3 linked regions of the Drosophila melanogaster genome follow. Changing the gene in region 1 together with any one later gene gives a genetic interaction. Each region holds a gene or a part of one and is shown in the gene's direction. Other genes may lie near its edges.

Region 1 (9,586 bases):
GTGGGATGCAGGATTTTCAGGGATTCCAAAGACACTCCCAACGGCTGGCAGTCTGTAAGAGATTTGGCATTTCCAGTCAGGCAGGAACTGAGACGTGCCAGAAGATTGGAGTACCGCATGTCCTTGGCGCTGAGACTCCAAGTTCCTTTTTCCCTTGCAGGCACTGCACTTATCAGCTTATGGAGTGTGTATTTTGGTATTTCATTGATCTTGAACTCCTCCGCAGAGTATATAATTGGTTTTATCTGCGACAGACTGTTCCGGTCGAGGACAGAATCAAAGTTATTGATTGGAATGGGACTGGCAATCTGTACAAGATCCGTGGGACGAATGCGATCCACCAGCAGAGCCATCAATTCGATACCAAATCCCTTATTATAGCCCATCGTATTTATCAGCCAAGGAATATTTGAATACTTGGCATCGTTCTGAATGTTTTGGACTAGCTGAATAACTGCTCGGGCATACTGCTCTGCGCACAAGACAATGTTGGTGTGGCCCACGACAATGGCATGTTCCGGCTGCCTGTTGTACAGGAAGCCCGGTCCCAGAAGGGGCTCATCAATTACGGTGCAAGAAATAGTCTGGGGTACAAATATTTCCGGCTGACCAATGTCCAGGTCGATGAGCAGCATGGATGGGAATTGACCCAGATTTCGGTTGATGAGGTAACGCAATAAACTAGACTTTCCGACGCCCTTACCACCGGCTACGATTATTCGGCTCGTTGCATGCATTTGTAACTTATTCCAAACCTGCGGAACTTGGAGAGTGCGACTTTGATCGCTCGATTGAATCAGACAGTGCAACAGGGTTTCACTTTGGCCAAATGGTCGATTGGAAGAATTGACAAGTGGGAATACATTTTGCGCCATGTGCTTGCCAAAGGTATCGACGAGCTGCTGGGCACTTGTGTTTCGGTGGAGCAGTACTATTGCATTCGTCTGACGCTGAAAGCTGGTCTTAATCCTGTCTAGCTGGGCGCGTGTAAAGTTCTTGTTGAGTTCTTCCCAATTTACCTCATCTTTTACAGGTTTTTTAGTCTTGGTTGGCGAAATAGATACCCAATTAAGGCCTTTAGGAGAATAAATTGTGATTGCTTCCTGCCTGCGTGCTCTGTAACCATTTACTGATATTTGACCACAGAGTAGAGTCAACACTAGTGTGCCATAAACTTCGAGGTCCTCCTTAATCACGGCCAGCACATGATTGCTCTTCAGACTGTTCTCAAAGACGCTAAGCTCAGTGGGATTCGCTTGCGGATTTCTGTAAAACGGGACATCGCTTGGTTGGAGATAATTTTCCTTTTCTGGTGTTACAACTTCAGGCAGTGATACCTCATCATTCTCTTCGGTTTCAATTGCAACTTCAGACTCCTTCTTTGGGGGCACACTGCTTAAGTTTTTTACAACAATATCCATAACACTTGACTGTTCAATACGTTCTTGCTTTTTTTCCACAGGCGGATCGTCGAAGATTTCCTCTATAATAAGCGGCTCTCTTTGCATACCCACAGGTGGATGATCGAAGAATCCCTCAATGTCAGGTGGCTCATAAGTTGAATCGAGGTCGTCGGTGTCGAAGATATCGCTTCCGAATTCTTCACTATCGCTGTCACTAACATCCTCCATATCGCTATATTCACTGTAGAAATCTCCATCACTATCATAGTCTGCGCTGCTTGTGTCTTCACTGTCAGACTCTTCGCTGTCAAATTCCTCCGATCCAAAGTCATCGCTATCTTCTGGCTCATAATCAATGTCATCTTCGTCGCTGTCAGTTTCTTCCTGTGCACTTTTAAATACCTTAATCTTTCGAACTGTTCCACTGCCATCCCCATCCAACAAAAGAGGTTGGTATTCATCGTGTTCAAAAGGAGGAAGAATATCTGATAACTTGTATTCGGGGCCTTTGCATTTGACCTTAAAAATCTTTGGATCTTTAAGAAATGTCTCGTCTATTTCTTCAACTACATCGTTTTCAGAGTCTAAAAAACATAGTTTAAGTTAAGAAACAAGAGTAATATTAAAAATTCCTTACCACTTTCAATTAAATAATCGTCTTCTTCACTCCAATCATCCAATGAATTCATTTCAATGTCACTTGTTTCCGCTGCAGTACCAATTATCTCTACTACTTTACCATTTTGTACGACCTTCATTGAGCTCTTGTTTCCATTTACCTTATGTTTCTTAGATAAACTTGCTTCTTTTGTTTTATTTGGCGTCTTGACTTTGGTTTTCTTAGGAGCTAATTCTGAAAAATACATATATATTAAAATAAAATGAGGTTGTAATTCTGGATCTAATGCATACCATTTATACTATGAACCTTGGGAATAGGAAGCTTAGCACTTTTGCTTGTTGCTGCAGATTTTTTAGCTGCAACATTTGAGGATTTATTTACAGGATTCTTTTTGGGTAGGGTATTATCCTTTTTAAGCCTCTTCTGGGATGGTGAACTGTCTGGATTCGACACATTATTGGAAAGAGGTCTCTTTGCGCCGGCTGTCTTATTTTTCTTGGATTTTTTGGGCGACTCCATCTGGGCTTTTTGAATCATTGTTTCCGAAATCTTTGCAGGATTGCTGGCCACCTTTGAAATAACTTTTTTCTTTGGAACAGCAGGTGGGTGTTGTGGTTTTTCCGGCTTACGGCGACCAGAGGCTAGTTCTCGCTGTTCGGTGAGCTGGAAGCTCAGTTTCATTTCTTTCAGAATATGTTCGTCAAGCATTCCTTTTCAGTTTTTTGCTGAACTACCAATACTTCCCGGGCCATGCGACCGCAAATTTAAGAAGAAGAGCAAGAATAACATATGTGCGGTGTTACCAGTCGTGGTCGGTCATGGGAATAACGCGCACAGAGTTGCCATCGATGAGAACTATCGATTGGGTTAATAACAGCCCTGCGCTCGAAGGCGTTGGTTGGTCATCGAGCGTTCATCCCGCTACCGAGAAATGAAACGGATGAACATTGTTCATCGTCATTTTGCATGGGAAAAAATCGTCGAGTTCAATTCGAATTTTTGTAATTGCATTAACTTTTATACGATATAGCTAAACGGTAGACGCATAAGAATCAACAAATTTGTGCCATTTTGTAAGCAAATTAAGTGTCGAATTCGTGCTGAGTGTTGTGAAATCACCAATATAAATTGTAAGTGGCCGAAAGAGCAGAAGTGAAAAAATTCCACACAGCACGCACACAAATGCACGCACGCCCAGCCAGAGGCGAACAGACACACGCACACACACACACACACAGCCATACCGAGAGTGGATGATGAGATGTTTTTGGAATAAAGTGTGAGCGGGACGGGCGCGGAGAGAGGAGTTTCCTGGAGTGTTGGAGAGAGGGGTGGAGAAGCGGGCGGCCCTATGACGCGACCAAAATGAAAATGCGAATGCGAAAAACCGTAAAGAAAAACGGGAAAAACTCGGCTAACGGACAATGGACAATGGCCAGATAAGAAAGAACCCCACACTTTATACTATTAGATCGCCGTCCAGCCGCAAGTATGACTAAGTGTGTGCGCGAGCGGGAGAGGGCTATCGGAAAAGAGAGCGAGCGCGCGAGTGTATTTGTGCTGTGTGTCCACCAGTGTGCGTGTGACTGTATGCGAGTGTGTGTGTGGCTTTTTCATTTTGATAATTTTTTGAACAGGCGCTCGTTCAGTTTTCGCGAATATATAAAACAGAACGGCTGACTCGGATTCGGAATCGAAAATTGTATTCGGATTCAGAATCGGACTCGGAATCCTCGGGCATCCGCTGCACTTGCATTGCATCTAGCTACAGTTTGATTTTGCCTTTTGCAGAACTTCCAATGACGACGATTCGCAAGAAATTGGTAATTGTCGGCGACGGTGCCTGCGGTAAAACTTGCCTTCTGATTGTCTTCAGCAAAGATCAGTTCCCCGAGGTCTATGTGCCCACCGTATTCGAGAATTATGTGGCCGACATCGAGGTGGATGGCAAACAGGTAAGCCCCTTTTCCCGGACAGGCCCGCCCCTCCCCTAACTACCCGTCCCGTCCACCACTCTGAATGCCACCCCCAACCGGTGGCTGACCCCCCTCCCCTGATAACCCCACCCTGCCATCCAAGTGATAATCGTCTGATCTCGTTTTATAATTTGTGTGCATTCTCAATTCATTCCGTTTTTCAAGTGCGCGTATCCTCCTTACACTTTCCACCCGCCTCTGTGTGTGTGTGTGTGTGTGTGTGTGTGTGTGCGGGTGTGTGTTCCCATGGGTGTGTGTTTATTGTTCTCTTGTTTGTGCCACCCACAACTTCACCCACACCTTGGTCGTTGTATTTCCTTTTCTTCGCCTGTAAAATGAAATGAGTCAATATCGCCTCATGCCCACAGACGCATCCATAAATAAAGGTGTCTGGAAAAGCAAAAGAAAAATTAAGATCATTTTTGGTTAAGTGGAGTGCAAATTTGGATTTTTCCGAAGAATTCAAAGTTTTGATAGCAGTGATTAAGTCACACTTGGGCACATTTCCCCACACTTACACGCACACATGCTCAACAGAGAGTTGGCAGCACACACACACACACAGAAGTAGTGCTGCTCCCTTCCTTCCGCTCGTTTTCTTTTCTTTTTATTTTGTATTTGTCTTATACAAGTCCGTTGCGCACATACAGTTTAATGCGTTGCGCCGCCCCCCGCTCTTTCTGCTGCTCTCTCGGGCGCTCTCACTCTTACTCTTTCTCCCTGCCTACCTGTACTCTCTTCTAAGGGGGGGGAGCGCTCTCCCGCTCCACCGCGCACTCCCTTACTCTATGGAATGTAATGTGCGTTTTCCATTGGGGCATCAAGTCATGATTTGGCTATATGTTCGTTCATATATTCCATTTGGGATCTACAGTATTTTCAGGCGCTTTTTTTCGAAATAAACACTGTGTGTTTGCCTTTGCTGCGCAATATGGCGGGTTTTCAATTTTCAGTTTCTGTTTGTGTTTCTGTTTGGATAGCGTTTACATACACACAAGTTCACGTCATTCCACTTCGCCTCGCTTCGATGTGATTAATTCGTTTGGCATTTCCGTCAAGTTCCTTGCTCACACTCTCGTACTCGCACTCATGCTATCTTCAACTCGAACTTGTCCCATTCTCCTCCGAGCCCGCATCGCACCGTCCCGTGCCACAAAAAGCCCCATCTATCTATAACCCTGACGACACCGCAACTGCAAGCGTAACTCTCAATCATAATCCGCATCCGATTCTCCAGGTGGAGCTGGCCTTGTGGGATACGGCCGGGCAGGAGGACTACGACAGACTACGACCGCTGAGCTATCCCGACACTGACGTCATACTGATGTGTTTCTCAGTGGATTCACCCGATTCGCTAGAAAATATTCCTGAAAAATGGACCCCAGAGGTGAGTTTAACTGGAATTACAGAACAGTTTCTATCAGACGATCGTAAACAAGTATGGTACTATATATATATATACTATACGGAACTAACAAGTCTAGACAAAATATGTTTTTAATTTTTATGTAATGATGCAAATTTGGAAAAAGTTGAACTTTTAACTCCAGTTAAAATATATTAAACATTTTTGAAGTTATCGAATGCATTTGCTTATGATATGGAATCTTTAAGACTATGCATCTCTGTGTTCTTGTTTATGTCATTGAAGCTATCTGAAAGACTGGTTTTGGTTTAGAACGAGGAAAGTTTAATAGAATTGTTGGTTATTTCTAGTTTAATCACTAAAAATAGTCTGCTATGAGCCAATTTGCTTTGACTTTCTGAATCATTTCCTTACTTCTCAGCCTTTAATTTATAATGATAGATATAGATAAGAAGAAAGTAAGTGGTTCCCAATTACGAATTACTTGTTTTTGCAGTTCGACTATATGGAATCTGATATCAAAATATGATACTAATCCTTACTACATTATTGCAGGTCAAACACTTTTGTCCAAATGTTCCAATCATTTTGGTAGGAAATAAGAAAGATTTGCGAAATGATCCCAACACAATTCGGGTACGTATACGCGCTGTTGAACGAGGTGAACTTGCAGCACTAAACTAAACTTGATTTTACAGGATCTAGCAAAAATGAAGCAGGAGCCGGTGAAGCCGCAGGAGGGTCGCGCCATGGCCGAGAAGATTAATGCCTTTGCCTATTTGGAGTGTTCGGCTAAGTCCAAGGAGGGTGTGCGAGATGTTTTCGAGACGGCAACTAGGGCCGCGCTGCAAGTCAAAAAGAGGAAGAAGACCAGATGCCTTTTGCTCTAAAAGAGCAAATCAACAACATGAAAATCTTTACCACACACACACACAGCAAAAACAACAGCATAAACACACACAAACACACATACACACCTTTTACAACAATAACGAGCTGAACAACAACCACTCAACAACAACATCAAGAACAACCAGAACATCGGATACACGAAGCTGCACCACCACCCAACCAGCAACAAACATGAGCAGAAAACAGAGAGCTTGAGCTAGAAGATCAGCGGAGGAGGGATGCAGCGAGATATAAGGGAAGGCAGCACCAAGTAGAATGTCAAATGCGGATTTGATTTTATATACAGTCTAGTGTAGTTATAAACCGAAGTAAACAACAGTAATAACTCTGGCATTATTATTTGTAAAAACTAGGGCAGAGCAGATCAATCAGTCAGCCACTGCAAGCAAAAAATATATATCGATATATGTAAACATATTCAAGTTGTGTCCGTTTCTGTCCACCCCCTCCTCCTAGATGTATGTTATTATTTCGTTAACTGTGTTGTCAAGTGTAGAGTCGGCTGTGGCTGGACGAGATTGTGTCGTATGCGAGGGTGAGTGAGTCAGGTGAATCAGTGGAATTAGGAACAGAATCGGAAACGGAATCGGATGTTGGATCCCGGGGTCCAAGGAGGTCGTAGGCGTCAAGATGAGAGTTATGTTCCCATTAAATCTATCAAATACAGAGAGACCAGGCCGCCAATAGGAGTTGGAAGCGAAACTACATTACAAGAGCCGAACTAAACACAAAACAAAACAAAACAAAAACGATAAATGTTTATTTAACTAAACGTAAGCCACAAATGAGATGCATTCAGTTTTCGCGTGGGAGATGCTAAGAGGGAAAATTTTTGATGAAGTGAAAAACTATTTCGAGCGCATTAAGCGAGTTTTTAATATTTGTACTTTGCATTAAAACGAGTGGAAAACATAAAAAAAAAAAGATACTACAAAACAACCAAACAACTATATGAAGAGTATTTTATGATTTTATAAAATACGATTATACATATAATTATACTATACAGTACATATGTGTATGTCTCTTTTTTTGTATTTTGTACCGTCAATCGTGTAATTCTCACACAGAAGTTGAAAAACTCGAAGATGCATCAGATACAACCAAACTATATTATACTTATGAATAAACAGTACATTTGATCTACTCTTGGTTTAACTAACTGTTTTCTTATTTGGCCGGGCATCGAATTTTATTAGGCTAAGATAATGGATTTAAATCCGGGGAATACCCGCCCTTTAAAGTCAAAACACTTATCTTTAACGGGGTTAAAAAAATCTTTATTGAGGGTATTGTTTTTGTTTATTTTGTGCTTTTGTATTTAATTTTTTTTTTTACATTTAAAATGTACATAACATTATGAATCAAAATGTTTTGGTTTTTCATCGATTAGGTATTAGGTTTCACAATATTATTCCCGAACAGGTATGTCGTTTTCGAAACAACATGGACACGACACATTGCTTTGAACATCTAGTTCCCAAGCCTTTTCTCTTAAAACGTACTTTTTAATCGCTTAACTTTCGCGGCGAAAGCAATTCTATTATATTTCTACCCGCATTTGATTCGTTTTCGTGTTGGAGCTGTTGTTTTTCTTTTTTTCGTCAGTCGATCTGTTTGGTTCGAACGGTTGCAGGATTCGCAATAACAATTAATTATTAGTAATTATGGGTAGTCCATTCAACTGTTTTTTGGGATCATGTAACAAACAGAGTAATTAAAGCCGTGTTAGTATTTTGTTTCCGGTGATGCAGTTAACATTGATGAGAGGAACTCATGGTGATTGCTTAGAGAACGTGATGTGTGGTTTCTTGTGGTAAAAGTAATCAACAGATTTCGTTAAACTAATAATAAATAAACTTAGGCGTAACACGTGTGTCCTTAACAATATAAACAATAGACTTTTCTCAAACTTAAACAACAAATGCATCGGCTGTCGTGGACTTAAATTATCAATTTGGGCTTGGATCTGAAATGAACGCACATTCTCATTCATATTTCATAATTTGCAATGTTCCCGCGTTTTACATACTTCTTAGGTCGATCGATCGATTTATAATATTAGTATACATTAAATTCAACATTTATTCGATTAGTTAAATGTGTGGCTCGTGTAACGTATGTCATGTGCGTGTATTCTGGGTAAATACGTACATACATAAGTTTAAAAATCCTCCAATTCTCTGCCCTTCGCACCTGGCAATTGGCTTTTGGGTTAATCTCCTGGCTAGGATTCAGAGTTGTTCAGATTGTTAGTGGGGGAAGACTCGACCCCTCGATCTTGCTGAATTTAAATGCTTTTGAGCTTTAGCCAATTGCCACACTTGCTTAATCGCTCTCGTCTAGGAATCAACATTAGTAATATTTACTACATAAACATATGTACGTGCATTGTTAATATGTATCTTTTGGATCGGTGCTTAAACGTATTGATATACTCTATCGCTGATCTACTGCCTCGCTATCCTTTCCGGCCAACAACAAGTACTTTAAATAGTTTCCATAACAAATAATAAATAAACCACTGTGGCCATAACAATTAGTTATCTGCTCCTCGATCGGTTAATTTCTCTTTTGTATGTTGTATCTGATGGGTATGTGCTATATACAAAATATAGCAAACAAAAGTTACTTGGTTTTTGTGGTTAATATTGCACTCATTTCAAGGAATCCGCCTCCTGGTCTAGTTAAGGTTTCGTCTGCGCCGGAAAACCAATGCGAAAATGGATCGGATGCGCCACCAGCGACTTCGTCGCCCCGTGTGAATCTTTTCCGAATTGGAGTCCGTGCCCAGGGCCTTGTGCATTTCCTTGCGTCGAATCTCGCGGACCAACGTGTAGAATGCCTCGTCGATGTAATGACGCAGTGCAGCCGATGTCTCAAAAAACGGGCAGCCGAACTGGTTGGCGAGATTCCGGCCCTCCTCGGTGGTCACGCGTCGCTGCGACTCCAGGTCCACCTTGTTGGCAATCAGAACCAGCGGAATGTCCTCGGACAGGCGGACACGGGTTATTAGTTTCCTGTACTCGGAGGCCTCCTGGAAGCTGTGGCGGTCGGTGACCGAGTAGCATATGATGAAACCTTCGCCGCAACGCATGTATTGGTCCCGCATGGCCGTGAACTCCACCTGGCCGGCGGTGTCAAGGATGTCGAGCAGGGCGGCCTCATTGTCGATGACCGCCTGTTGCTGGTAGGAGTCCTCTGCAGCAGCAAAAAAGAAAAAAAAAACCGGTATACATTTAGTGGGGTTGTGGGGGCTTGTGCCTTAGACGCCTTGCGCACCCTGCGCCTTACTCACCAATTGTGG
Region 2 (7,481 bases), on another chromosome or scaffold:
GTCAGCAAACCAGACACCAGGGCGGCGGTCAGGTGAAGAGGTATTCCTTCACTGAGATACCCATGCAATTGGTTCTTCATCAGTGAATAGGAGGCAAGCTGCACCATATTCACGACCATGGCACGACCCACTGTCGGCAAGCATCCTCTCCAGAGCGCCACCACGCCCTCATCCTTCACAATTCTTACAAAGGCATCACCCACATTCTTGTAATTACGCCTGTCCTCCGGCATTAAGCGGTTATCGGACATCATCCGGATCAGGGCCACCTCCGCTGGATTTCCACACATGGCTCCAAAGGCGCCAGCCACAATGCCCATCGTCATACTGGCCACCATAGATGGATAATTTCCGAAGTTCTTGCGATACCAATCCAACTCCATCTGGTAAACACCCATCTTGGCTGATGTGTACGTGGCCTGTCTCAATAGTCCGGCACTCAATCCATTGTACAAGGATAATATCCCCTCGTTCTTCAAAACCTTCGATAGAACCTCAAATGAGTTCTTGTACTCGCGTGTGCCTAAAGTTCCTGATATCTGCATTCGGGTCTTGAGAAGGTCCAACGGCTGGACAATGCATGTGGCCAGCATTCCGGAGGTTCCGCCCATCACGAATTTCATGTGGGTGGGTACCGTCTTCTTTTCAACCCCGTAAACCAGCGCCATGTGGAACAGGACAATTGGAAGATATAATAAGTATGTTTGGGAAAAAGAGATGTGAATTGAGAGTGTATGGTTGGAAACGAGCCAAATTCGTATGTGGGGGTTTTTATGGAGTTGACATCCACAACAAAGCCTTCCACAACAAGCAAGACTTTTTCCCAAAAGATAATTCTTAGAGGTCCTCCACTTGACCATAGTTCTTTCAACCAAAGGAGAGATCCAGTCCATGGAAATGTTCACAACTGCGCGTTGCCTTGCGGATTTGGGTCGTCGTGGCATTGATTTTAATTGTGGCAGTTAACAGGCCAACACCTTTGGCCAATTAACGCACCTCTATAATTTTCCTCACATGCCAGATAATTGTGCCAGTTTTGGGCCACCCACAAATTAACGAGACCCTGGCAAGCGGCTTATTATCTGTCTCGTTGGCAATTCAACCCTTTAACTTCGCCTCCTCGCTTGTCACCCTTTTCCCGCATTGATGAGAGTACACAAAATGGTTAGGCATCGTTGGAAATGCAATTAGAGAGCAACTCAAACCGAAAGAACACTTTACAGGAGGTGCAGACGAGGCCCTCCCAATTAGACAAGCCGAAATTGTTATGTCAGGGTAGGGCAAAAACCAAACCGAATTTCATGTACTCGCAACTGGCGTATCGACAACTCATTGCGGGCTAATTAGGAGCTCATGCGGCGGCAAAGACCAACAAAATATTGCTGGGAAAAACAGAGAAGCGATTGCTGTCGATTTTCTAACCAAGCAAAAGGGGAAATCGCATGCGATAACGCAATTACATCACATTTACCCGCCGAAAAGTATGCAGCGAAACTTCTTATTTGCCAGTTCGTAAAAAGCCCGAATGGCGCCTTAGTGTCTTAATTAACGTTGTTACAGTGATACCTTGTTATAAAATACAATAGACCATAAGTACGCAAACAAAATTGTCCTCAAATAAGCATCGCAATTTTGAATTTATTGTTTACAGCTTTTTTAATTTTTATAGTATTAGTATTTGCTTATACAACCAAGTTACATTTTTCAGAGAACAAATAATTTCTCTTCACATCAAAAACAACACGAAGCTTTGATTGTTGCAATCACTCTTAGTACTCGAATATCAATAGTGTTATCGAGGAACATTTGGCAAATTAAGATAAACATACTCAGAATTCCCTAAAACTTGAGGCGTACTTGTGCTAACTTGGCTAACGATGCAAATGTTGTTATCAAGCAGTTTACAACATAAATACTCTAATTATTTATGTGCATAAGTAAAAGTGGGGCAACAGTCTGCAGCAAATGCAACAGCAACAATAACAATGGCACAATGCAATCAAACAATCAGAGACAAGCTCGCTGAACTGAAATGCCAATTGTGAAAATTGTAAATAAATATTTTAACAGACGACGGCAACAACAAGAAGTCGGGAAACTACAATAAATCAGATCATATCGGCGGCCAACTGCTGCGGTTTCAGTTGTGGTAAATATATATATATAGACATATATAGCTATATATGGCAGATCCAGCAGCAGAGCAGCCCTACAAGCGTGGAAGGCATGGGGCAGGAAAAACTGTGAAAAGCTGAAAGAAAAATCGCAAAAAGCAAACGACACAGCGACAACGATGACAATGCTGATAATGGCCCAAGGAGAAGGTGCGGAGGAGCGGCAGCATTATGGTATCCAAAAGAATAGCCTGGAAACCTCAGAAATTTACGCTCAAGCGAAGCGAGCTGAACCAAACTAAGTTGAGGTGAAGCTGTTGCTAAAAGGAAAATGACAATAACAGCTGCAGTTCCAGCGCCCTGTGTGAGAGCCCAGTAATGACAAAAAACTAACTAGCACACTGAAAAAAATGGATAACTTAGCCATAAAGTTCTCGGACATAAAAAATTATTGGGAGCTGGTTGATGAATAAGTACATTTTATTATCTGTGCATATTGATTTACAGCCTTTTCCAATATACGAAAAAACAAACAACAATGTATTTGTGATTTTGTGAAATATGTTTATTATTATTTTGTTTATTATATAAATTAGAAATTATACAGTTTTCTTAATCTTTATGTATTAAAAATGATTGCCTTAATTATCACTTAGGCTCACGTTAAAATATTCTATCAGTGTAAAAAAAAGCGAGGCATTAAGTACCGAACCGTTAAGAAGTCATTCGAAGTTGGATAGACCAAAAAAAGCTGAGGCGTCTCTAAGCCGCCCTGCGAGTGAGCGAGACCGCAGTAGGTGGTAATTTCTGGAGTAAACAGAGCGAATTCAGAGCTAAGTCCGAAAACAAAACTTCGAGTGAGAGCAGTGAGAGCTGCAATCGTAATTGCGCTGGGCTAGAGAGTAAAAGTCTTTGAGCAAACGAGAGCGTCGAGTAGCGAAAGTTAAAGCCGAATCGTAGAGCAGAGATCAAAAGATCTGTCAGATCTAAATAACAGAAAGAACATCCGAAAACCCAAATCTTTCGGGGAAGTGTGTCATCAAAAAATCGATAATAAAATAATTTTGTGCTTTTCTTACTCTCTCGTTTCCTCATAAGTTCAATGCACAATGAAAAAACAGTTATTTTTGGACAATAAATCAACGGCAACAACAGACTAAAGATTCTAAGCACAAATAAAAAAAAACAACGGCCAGAGTCGAAAGACTCAGGCAACGAACTGCGATCATCGGAGATGAAAATAGAGAGAGAGAGAGAGAGCGCGCGCGATCTGCTTCGTTTTTGCTTTTCGAACTCAGAGCGGCGGACTTTTCGAACTCCAAGCTGTCCGGCAGCTGAAACTTTTGGTCATTCGTCAGTTAACCGTCGTGCAGCTCGAAACGCGACGCGATCTGTTGGATATATGCAATCCAACGGTGATATATAAACACGATTCTTCTTCGCCGAAGAACGAACGTTTTGTGTGTGTTTGTGCAGGTGTTAGTGCGCGGTGTGCGTGTTACCATTTGCATTTTGGCTTTTTAGCTTTTAACTCGCTTTTTTCGTTCCATTTCGCCGCGTTGCATTTGCTCGGCGATTGCATTTCTCGGTTTCTTCGCTTTTGGATCGGCTTTCGTTATTTTTGGTTGAGGCCTTAAAATAGCCTTTGCCGTAATTACTGGGCTGGCCGCAAGAAAACGTGTTTGTGTCTAAACTACAGTTACAACCAGAGCAGCCGTCGCAGCTGCATTTCACTCGAATGTGCTTGCCGAAAAGTAGAAAATATAATAAATAAGAAAGAAAGAAGAGAGTGCTCGCTATATAGAAGGAAAAACGTCACTCGGTGTATACGTTCTTCTTCTATTTGTTCGCCTGTTAACATTGTGCTCATAATTTATTGTACCCAGCGATATGCAAATAGAAAGCAACAAATTTGTACAGCAAGTGGAATATTTCAACGTTTAATTTGGGCCCCGAAGAAACCCAAAAAGGTAAGGCAAATGCATTCTAATAAACGAGAAAATAATATAATGCCAACAAACTATAGATATTATCCCCCCCAATGAGCATAAAGCTAATGAGGTAAATTGTGAAAACATCTGAACTGCTTAGAACTTGATTTGGTTAATATATTCATTAGTATACATTTCTCCCGCTGACGATTTGCATATCAGTTGTCTTCGGTCGCAGGTTCATAACTTCTGCTTCTGTTTTGGCTGGCTAAGAAAGCTTCGGTTAGATCATCGCATCTCACGTTTTTCACCGCCGAATAGATCGATATTCCTGCCTCACTGCGAACCCCTAAATAACACTTGCTGCACGATTGAACTTTAAACCGCATTCTTGGCCCGTCTGCTGCCTGGTTTTCTGTTTTTCTTGGCTCTCTCGGTCGGACGCATCTATCACAGATCGGTGAGTGGTGGCCAATTTTCAATGGATCGATGCTGCCTCGCTCCGTGGGAACTCTTGACTCTTGAGCCCCAGAGTTCGGGCCTGGCATTTTGCGGCACACATTTTAGCCCTGGCTAGCTAGCAAAAACAGAGCCAAAAACAGGCTTACAGAACAGGAATTTCCACTCCTACAACAAATCCGCGGACAATTGACATTTTTGTGTAATTGCCACATTTGTTGTTGTAATTTTGGTTTTTTTTTTCGAATTTTCGCAGATTATTGCCTTTTAATAGTGAATTCGTCGGGCTTAGTTCAAATTTAGCAATTTACATATTTAAATGCATTGTTAATAGCCATTGGAAAACATATTAAGTAAATAATAAAACATTTGGCATTTTGCTTTTATATATTTATTTATTGAATAATTTTCTTAAGAAATCTTCATGTTCAATGATTTTTAATCGTCAACAATTAAGGAAACTAGTAAATTTAAAATTGCAATAGATTAAGTTAAACTTAAACGAAGATCTCCGGTCCGAAGATGTCCATCTTGGAGAACTCTCCTGTGGAGGATCGAGGTTTCGGTGGAGTGCATGGCGCCTTGACACTCACAACGGGGGCGGATGTGTTGGCACTAGCATCGACTTTGTTGACGGAGGAGGAGCGTTTGCGTCGCATGTTCTTGAGCTGATCGCGCAGCTGCTCCTTGTAGACGAGCTCCCTCTTGCAGGCCCTCAGATCCTCCATGCTGCAGTGCTTCATGTGGCGGATGGTGCGGGACACCAGTCCATCGATTATGTGAATCTTGGTGCGGGACAGCCGCGTGGGTTCCGCATGACGGCGGGTCAGCTCGCTCTGGTACTGAAAAAGTAGATAGCCCACGCTCGGACGAGCTCCGCGTCGGTGGTTGGCGTTGTTACGTTGGGCTTCCATTTCAGATAGAATAGCTCCTTTGTTGTTTTTTTTTGTATAGACTTCAAAATGCTGGCTGCGACAGGACAAGCTGTGACTGCTTGGCAGCTTGAGCTGTGAATGATGTCCCTACGTGGTTTACCAGGATTATTTATATCTGGGGCGCTTAGCTACCTGTTGACCCGCCGACTGACCTGCTGACTTGTACGAGTCGCGTAATTACCTGAAGTGCTCCGGTAAAACCAGAGATCCTTCCTCCCTTTTTTGATCCCTTGCCAAGTTGACATCTCAGGCCAAAGATACTGTACATCTTCCTTGCACACATGTGGGTAGTGCTCACCTTGCGCGGCATTTGCTGGGGTGGAAATGGTTTATGGCTTGACCTTTTGCTTTAAGATATTTCAGTTGAGCTGGCGCTGAATAAATATGGGGATAAGGAAAAGATTAAAACGGTGACTAAGTGTCTGAGGATTGCGTTCAAATCGTTTTAAGCTTAGATTAGATAACTGGTGGAAAAGTTATCAATGAAATAAATAAAATTTAAGGTAGCAGAAATGCAGCTGAATGAAATTTAAGTAAAAACCCACAAAAATATTTAAAATTAAAATATTTATGTTAAAGTGGTTATGAAGTTTAAAGATATTTTCATATGTTGTTTCATTAACAATTAAATGAAATATATCATTTTGATTTTTTAATTCATTTACGAATAATAAATTGTAAAAAATTAATTTACTCTATGAAATGTAATAACTTTTCTGAAGTCACATGCTTGTTTTTATTGCTTAAGGATTACGCTCAAATTGTACGAAAGTTTGCCTTTTAAGTCCAATCCCACTGCAACTAAATAAATTCCCTCTCAACTCTCGGCAAATGAAAATCATTTATATTTAATGAGTTGCCATGAAGTGATAAATATAATCCCAAAGTGGCACTCGTCTACTCTTACTCCTGTTTTTTTTTTGTGCCCGACAACCAACCCACTTGTGAAGGACTGCGTGTTAAATATTTATTTATGAACGAATGTCTGCGACCTTGTCTTAACCCCCTTGGTCATAAAAGCGATTTACTGTGGGCTGGTTAGATGGTTTTAAAAATGCTTTTCATGTAATTGTAATTTCACTTAACGTAATTGACACGCGGCCCCCGCTTTTAAAACGCTCCCAATCAAGTTAATTTCAACTTAATTACGAGCGAAGGAAAGTGAAAATTCCCTTTAGCATTGTCTTGTGGCTTATCGAACGAATTCTTCTTAAGACAATTTATTGGCCTGCATTAAGGCCGAAATAATAATAATGCTGGCTATAATAGCTATAACAATGACCAGTGAAAGTTGCTTGGTATTTTATGATAATTCTTTGGTGAGTAAATAAATGATGATTCAATGCCCATTTGGGTGCTAAATGCAAGGGCCGCGAGCTGCGATGCGCCAATGATGATGATGGCGAGATGTAGCCATCATTATGATTGTCTCGTCTGGTTTAATATACGATGGAATAAATGCCTCGACACGCACCGACTTGGTGCCCCACCATCAGATCGAATCCAAAACCAAATCCAAGTCGATTGCAAGTTCATTGAGCGCGTTGAATTGGAAGCTGTCGGCGACTTGTCAAAAGCAGTTGCTCATAATGTCTGCTAGTCAGGTCAGCAACGCTTCGATGGCCTTTTTAGTCAGCCCCTGGGCCACCGTTATGACCTTAGCCCACCAATGTACCTGTCCCTACCTGCATAGCCTACCTTACGATCATAAAATGAGCAGGGGGAGGATAAGGCCGAGTTGCCGCTGCCTTGAGGGGTCATAAAACACTGATGCTGCACATTTGCTTAATCCGGCGCGTGGTCTTTCCCAACGTTCTTAATCCGGTTTCGAAATCCTTTTGTTTTCGCTACATTTCAGCTACTAAGTGCAATTATAAAAGGATTATGCCATCTCCTGACCCAAAGGCACACTCGACCCGAGCATCCACTTTAGTTATGAATTACCTGGAAGTAGTTAAGTCTGTTGCAAAAACTCCCTGGTCTTTCGGGAACTGCAGTTATGCTAATGATTTCCATTTACATACGCTCCTTCCTCTACGACA
Region 3 (7,493 bases), on another chromosome or scaffold:
AGGCTGGAGTCCCCCAAGGCAGCGTTCTTGGGCCAACCTTATACCTCATCTATACAGCCGACATCCCTACAAATAGTCGCTTAACGGTATCCACATTTGCCGACGATACAGCTATCCTTAGCCGTTCAAGGTCCCCTATCCAAGCTACAGCACAGTTGGCACTGTACCTCATCGACATTGAGAAGTGGCTCTCTGACTGGCGAATAAAAGTAAACGAGCAAAAATGCAAGCACGTGACGTTTACGCTAAACAGACAAGACTGTCCTCCGCTCTTGTTGAACAGCATACCACTCCCGAAAGCAGACGAGGTAACGTACCTAGGAGTACACCTAGACAGAAGACTCACATGGCGCAGGCACATTGAAGCCAAAAAAACCCAACTTAAACTCAAAGCCAACAACTTACACTGGCTCATCAACTCTGGTTCTCCGCTCAGCCTAGATCACAAGGTCTTGCTCTACAATTCTATATTGAAACCAATCTGGACCTATGGCTCACAGTTATGGGGCAATGCCAGCAACAGCAATATTGACATCATTCAGCGAGCACAATCAAAGATTCTGAGAACCATCACTGGGGCACCGTGGTACGTTCGGAGTGAAAACATCCAAAGAGACTTAAATATCCCATCAGTTACCAACGCAATCACGGAACTTAAGGAAAAATACCATAGCAAGCTTCACACGCACCCCAACCACCTAGCGCGAGGTCTAATCCAGCTCAGCAGCCGTTCCCGTCTCCGGCGAAAGGACCTACCAACCCAGCGAATAAATTATTAGGGCCGTTTAAACATAGAACAGTTGGAAAAATAATACAACTGTTCAAAAAATACTTGTTATAGTTAAGATTTTTAAACTTATTGTTAGTTCTTATACAAGAAGATTCAATAAATAAAAGCAAAGTTAAAAAAAAAAAAAAAAAAAAAAAAAAAAAAATATCTGCACTCAGAAAAAAGTTTTTTAAACGTTTCATTTTTGTTAATAACTTATTTGCATTTTAATCGTTTGGATTTAAAGCATAAGATTTACATATATAAGAATTTTTGTTAAAACGATTTTGCACTACCAAGTTTATAGTAGTAGTAATAAAAAGGAAATAAAGAATTTATTAAAGGCTTGTTCTAAGTTCTAATTTCCATAAATAGCATGCTTCCTAAAACCCTTATTAACTGCCATTAAAACCAATTATTCCCTAAACAGCATGAATGAAAATAGGTGAGAAAGAAGTCGCTGCTAATTCAATTTTCCTTTCGCTTATCTAATGAAGTTCATCTGCATTCGGGGTGTTATTTTTACCCTTTATACCATTTTAATTACATTAAATTACATATTCCAAAAACAGACACGGCAGAATGACAACAACAACGGAATCACTTTCCAACAAAGGAGTGGGAGCGGAAGAGGAGCACAGACAGACAGAGAAAGAGAGGCACAGAGCAAAACGTCAAAGTTCGTTCACTTGTAAACATAAAATGAGCGGCAACTGCAAAACAGCAGCAATACCAACAACAAGCGGCAAACGGAAACCGACTGAACAACAACAATGGAGACCCAGAAGCCAAGACATACATGCACTGGAAAAAAATTTATATCAATATTTAATTTAAATTTGTGATATGTAACCACACATCGTAGTAAAAATCTACTCATAAATATTATCATATATGTAAATAATGAATTGATGGGAAATTTTATCTTAAAGCGAAGAAATTCGAAAGATATGTGCTTAGACAGCTTAAAATCGTTAGTAGTAGTAGCCTTTAACATATTCCAAGCTCCTCTACGGAAATTATAAATTATATGTTTGTTTATTATTATAGTATATAAGTGATTTTAAAAGTGCACTGCTTATTTATCTGAAAATTGTACTTTAATTTTTTGTTAAGTGTATCTAGCGATTGCAAGGGGGAGACCGAGAAAAAGAGCCTTTTTATGCGGCGCAACTTTGGCGCTTTTTATTAAACAAGCCGACGAAGTGTAGAAGCGAAGAATAGGATGAGGAGGTGGCGGTGGGGGAGAACTGGGGTTGATGGAGCCAAGAAGAGAGCGGATAAAAAGAGCAAAGCATAAAATGAACTTTGCCGGCTAAACCGGTAACACTTGTTTAACGCAAAAGAGAGTGCGGGAGAGCCAGTTATGTGCTGAAAGAGATATGTTAAGTAGAGAGCGACAGAGACAGAGAAAGCCTGATCGGAGAAAAGGGTTCTACAGGTGACAAAGACAAAAGACTGCCAAGACTCCTTTAATGTCATCATTATTGTCAATATAACAAGTTTATTGACTGGCAGCAGATGCCTAACCCCCCACACCTCCCTTGGCGATCCACCACGGGGTCATTAGACAAATTCCCGCGATAAGTTCTCTTCACTCATGCTAAAGCTCAGATTAAACGCAAGTTAATGACTTAATTAACTGCCGGAAAAAAGCGAGCAAGTAAACAAACAACAGCAAAAACTAAAGATAAAGATAAATGGTAAATGCAAGTGCGCAGAGAAATGGTCGACGATAAAAATTGTCGCAGAAATCAAGGAAATTAACGCGTGCAAATATGTATTTCTATAGAGGAAGAAAGCTGGAGAAAAGCAATTATTATAGGTATATTCCAGTAGAGGGCAAATGTCTTCTAACGGCACTTGCAACAGCTGAAGATTACCAAAGAACAGTGGGAAGTGTAACGGGCATCGATGGATTGATATAAAAAGATAAGAAGGTGCGGTGACCTAAGCAATATGACATTTTAGAAACTGAAAAATATTTAGCTGACATGCACTGTAACTTTTTGACATTCGGACATAAATGTTGTATACTCATTTCGTTTTCGGATATGTATCCCATTTCAGCAAGGATTTTTTGCTGGCAAAATGATTCTAGTCTTTTTATATTGGAGCCATTTTAAATGCAGCACTTATTTCTTTTATTCATTTTATAAGCATAAGATTGGTTATAATTTATTATATCGAAAAAATGGTTAATTAATTAATATTTAAATTGGAATCTATAAATATTTAAGTATTTACAAAGTGAATATCGATGTTCAAATTTCCATTGAGCGGGCCCAACACCTAGATTTGGGCACAGCTTCCGCCCCTAATTTCCTATTAGCCCTGTCGATTGCATAATCATCTTGAATTCTAATTAATTAAATGGTCTCTTATTTAGTTGTTTGTTGATGCTTTCTTTTTCCTGTCTGCTAATCAACAGGAGGCCAAGAAGTTGAGAGGAGACAGAGTGCGAGCGAGACAGCATCCAAACAAAAGGCATAACAGCCCTGTCTTTCACTTCGCTCTCTTTGGCTCTCTGGCTCTCCCGCCGAGAGTGTCAAATTCAAGGTCGCCCCCAGTGCTATACTACAAAGCGTATAGCTGAATAAAACCTCCTCTCACACCATTCGAGCGAAAGAGCGCATATTCAGCGTGTGAGCAGGAGAACGATACGGTGAGAGAGCGGCTTGGAAAGAGCCCCATGTTTTCAGTTCCTCAGTTTGTCAGCGTATGCCCTACCATGCGGATGTGCTCGCGGATTGATTTCGACTCGAACTCCGGCTCCGTTTTCGTCTTTTAACGTAAGTCCCGTGCGAAAAAGTTGAATTCGACTCCGTGTTTGTTCAGTTATTTTTTTGCGCGGTTTTCGAAAAAGTGAAAGAAATAAGGAAATTCAAAAAGCGGGGGAGGCATAAATGATATACAGCTAACGGTACTTATGTATGTGCATACAGCAAGATAAAAATGTGGCTGCTAGAAAAGTAAAGCCCGGTACTGTGCCAGATAAAAGCCAACGCTACTAAGTCCTAAAGACCCCCAAAAATTAAATTTTGACACAATAATATTTTGCCAACAACAAATAGCAAAGTCGAATTCAAACGGTTAAACCAAATTGAAGTCGGAAAATAACAAAAAAAGTCTAAACAAAATAAAGAGCAAAAGCAAACGCAAATAAGAGAATAGAGAGAAATATTTATTATTTGCTTATAAGGCCAAACTAAATATTTGCCGCCGGCAAATATTTAAAAGGTGTTAAGTGTTTCGTGGGAGTGAAGTTTTTAAACAGGGAAAATAAATCAAATAAGTATTCAATGGTGTATAAGTGAGTGCAAGTAGATGAGCAACATGTGTGTGTTTTAAAGTGTTTAAAGAGATCGAGAAAAAGCCCCAAAAGTTATTTGACAGCGATATCGAAAAATTCCAAAATGTGGCGTCAAATCCTGTTTATTTTACCCACCCTGATACAGGGGGTCCAGCGCTACGATCAGAGCCCCCTCGATGCGAGTCCGTATTATCGCAGCGGCGGGGGATTAATGGCCAGTTCTGGGACCGAACTAGATGGACTGCCACATCACAATCGCTGTGAACCCATCACCATATCGATCTGCAAGAATATACCATATAACATGACCATTATGCCAAATCTTATTGGCCATACCAAGCAGGAGGAGGCGGGTCTGGAGGTCCATCAGTTTGCTCCGCTCGTGAAGATCGGCTGCAGTGATGACCTCCAGTTGTTCCTCTGTTCCCTGTACGTTCCGGTCTGCACAATTTTGGAGCGACCCATTCCGCCTTGTCGATCTCTGTGCGAATCGGCGCGGGTATGTGAAAAGTTAATGAAAACCTACAACTTTAACTGGCCGGAAAATCTGGAGTGCTCCAAATTTCCCGTCCATGGAGGCGAGGATTTGTGCGTGGCGGAGAATACCACATCATCGGCCTCCACGGCGGCCACGCCCACAAGGAGTGTGGCTAAGGTCACTACCCGTAAACACCAGACGGGCGTAGAAAGTCCGCACCGAAACATTGGATTCGTGTGCCCCGTGCAACTGAAAACGCCTCTGGGAATGGGCTACGAACTAAAAGTTGGCGGAAAGGTAAGTTCTTTAATGAAAATAAATTCACTAAAAAGCGCCGAAAAATAAGCATCATATAAAAATAGGGGGTTATAGGCGCATACTGTATACCTTTTAAAACATTAGTTTTCTATTATTTATGCATTTAATTTTATGATTAAACATGTTATGATTATGACAAAAGTTAAAAACAAGTTCTATAATCATCCGTCGGGTGAGCACAAACTTTTAACCATGTCCAAACTAAAAACGAAGTTGCACAAATAAATTTTGGGTACTAACATCTGTTTAGCGAATGTATTTAGCGCTTTCTTGACTAAATGTATGCTTTAAGTACCCCAAGCCTTTTAGTGAGTATTTCGTTTATTTCTGGAACTTAATATGCCACATTTGGGTTGGTCCCATGTAGGTCAATGATTTTTTTATGTCTTCATTTGAACTCCAGACTCAATTTGTAGAGCAGCGTAGAAGTAGGGAAAAATGCAAATCCTGTTGCGCCGAGAAAACAATTTCCAACCACCAGGGAAAACAGCAGGAGGTCCTTGGCAGGCCAGGAATAACGAGAAGAAGGAGAGAAGGGCGACGAGCCCGCATTCTACCTGCCCGCAGCTCACAAAAGATGGTTAACAGCGGCAGGTAGATCGTTTTTTCTTTGGCTTCGGTTGAGGAAAGGTAAACCAGTTCTTTTTGGAGTTGTGTAATTTGTAATGCCTGCTTAAAAGTATTCCCAAAAAAAGTAAAAAAAAAATGTAACATGAACCATAGAATGTTTAATAACTTGAACTGAGGGTCAGCCTGTTGCATTTTCACGTTCTTTAATTAATTTTCCACCCTTTTCCTTTAGCAGCTTTTTTTCGGGTTCTTAAGCCCCTCAGCAGACTGATTTTTCCACGATTTATTTTCTGTTGGTTTTGGATGAGTGATGATCATCGTCTATGTGTTTCCAATGTGTTTATCTTTTGCTATTTTTAGCCGTCACTCTGTTGTTGCCGGCTGCCATAAGTAAAGCGCATTAAATACTTTGAGGCAGGATAATTCACACTTCCCTCAGTGTCTGGATATCTGGCGGATACATGTGTATCTCTTAGCTACTTTACCATTGCGATTTCTCGGTGTTTTTTCTTCTTTCGTCTCACTCGCTTTTTCTTGATTGGTCTCGTTTTTCCTTGGCTGTGTGTCATCAGTTCCTCTTGGCCTTGCTGCCTTCTTTCCATCCCCATATCATCATGGCTGTCAGCATCTTTGGTTTAGCCGGAGTCCCCAGACCCCGTGCTTAAATGCCTTTTGAGAGCTGCGTGCGAAATTTAGCAGCTTGTTTGCCTGGATTGCATTTGGCCCACATCACGATTCTGTCTGTAAGAGTATCTGCAAATGAATCCGTATCTGTATCTCTGTGTGTTTTGGCCCTGTTTGCCGTGCTTTATGAGCTAGATAGGTCTCTTTGTCTGCTAATGATAATGGCGCAGTGTGAGAGCGTGAATTAATGCTTATTGGATAGATAATGATCCGACAATATAAACATATAATTGCCATGTTAGAAACTAGTGGTATTAACAAGCGTTTTATAAGGGCTCCACAGGTACAGATAAGAAATTGGTCGAAATCAAAATTATAAACTTTATGATTAATAGACAAAGAACTATATTTTAACCCAGAGAAATATTGATTGATATTAGAAAAGACTATTACTAAAAGTTATTCTATTCAAACCGAGCTGTGAAAACACAATTGTCGATTGGCTATTTCATCTCGAATTCCTAAAATAACATTATTGCCCGACACCTTTGAACGATTTAACCCAAAGCCAACTTTTAACATGTTTCCTAAATTCAGCAGAGTATATTAAATATTAATTCCATTCATCTGGGCTAATTTTTCAATTTTCCTCTTTGAAATTTTCCGATTTGCTTGTCAGTCAGACCTTTTTGACTAAATTAACCAGTCACTCTCGTTGAAATTCGTGCCAACAAAAATCTGGCATACAAAATATGTAATTTCGCAAATCAATTACCCAAACCAAAGGGCAAAACACGGCCGGATGAATTAGAGTGCGAAATGCCGAATGGAATTAGTTGAAAATTCCCTCAGTCTGTGCTGAAATAATCATAGGCGAAAACCCGTAGGGCATGACACAACTCAACCCTTTTGCCGCATTTCACAGTCCTTTTTCTTGGCCTTTTCTTGCCCCGAATCCATTATGCAAAGGCTGCGGTGCGGGGTAGGAAAATCTGTTTTCCATCTGAAAGGAAACTGAGTGGAAAGCCAGCAGTCATAAGAGGGCACAATCAATTACGGATTCGTTCACAATTAAAAGTCCTGGTTGGGGGCGAGTCTCCGCTCCGGATGAATCAATTTAGGGCCTACAAATAATCCCCAAATCGGACTGATTCTCTTTCACTTCACCCCCTCTAAATGCGTCGAAAGCGTTCTAAATGAGGCTTTTAATGGATTTACGATTTCCTAAACAACCAAACTGAAATCCTTCCCGCCTTTCCGCAAACTAAACTGTTGTCCTTTCGCGCTCTTTGATTAATTTATTTTCGGCCGCCATGGGTTAGGCGGTGTTTGCAATCGGGGCACGGGCATTCTGGATAAAAGTGGGCGGTGGGCGGTGGGTGGCGTTCGTCTGGTTGCCCAGTTGTCTACACATGTAGCCA

The links.
Region 2: of Rho1 (region 1) and RhoGEF64C, changing one suppresses a phenotype caused by changing the other (phenotypic suppression), as found in Drosophila melanogaster (2 studies listed by BioGRID).
Region 3: of Rho1 (region 1) and fz, changing one suppresses a phenotype caused by changing the other (phenotypic suppression), as found in Drosophila melanogaster (3 studies listed by BioGRID).

The regions. Positions count from the first base shown.
Region 1 is NT_033778.4:16,099,795-16,109,380, forward strand, and holds Rho1 (Rho1), read left to right. Parts: upstream 1-2,892; 5' UTR 2,893-3,098; exon of another isoform or gene 3,099-3,155; intron 3,156-3,302; exon of another isoform or gene 3,303-3,514; intron 3,515-3,671; exon of another isoform or gene 3,672-3,816; 5' UTR 3,817-3,824; coding exon 3,825-3,980; intron 3,981-5,238; coding exon 5,239-5,388; intron 5,389-5,922; coding exon 5,923-6,003; intron 6,004-6,065; coding exon 6,066-6,257; 3' UTR 6,258-7,435; downstream 7,436-9,586. Other genes in the region: CG8414 (uncharacterized protein), read right to left, coding at 1-1,987, 2,041-2,256, 2,316-2,733; Ric (Ras-related protein interacting with calmodulin), read right to left, coding at 8,963-9,480, 9,578-9,586. UniProt on the Drosophila melanogaster protein: Has a role in regulating actin cytoskeletal organization: required during early development for proper execution of morphogenetic movements of individual cells and groups of cells important for the formation of the embryonic body plan.
Region 2 is NT_037436.4:4,689,322-4,696,802, forward strand, and holds the start of RhoGEF64C (Rho guanine nucleotide exchange factor at 64C), read left to right. Parts: upstream 1-3,461; 5' UTR 3,462-4,084; intron 4,085-4,883; exon of another isoform or gene 4,884-5,001; coding exon of another isoform or gene 5,002-5,418; exon of another isoform or gene 5,419-5,524; intron 5,525-7,481. Other genes in the region: CG18418 (uncharacterized protein), read right to left, coding at 1-668; CG15876 (uncharacterized protein), read right to left, coding at 5,002-5,418.
Region 3 is NT_037436.4:14,270,870-14,278,362, forward strand, and holds the start of fz (frizzled), read left to right. Parts: upstream 1-3,473; 5' UTR 3,474-4,185; coding exon 4,186-4,857; intron 4,858-7,493. UniProt on the Drosophila melanogaster protein: Receptor for Wnt proteins.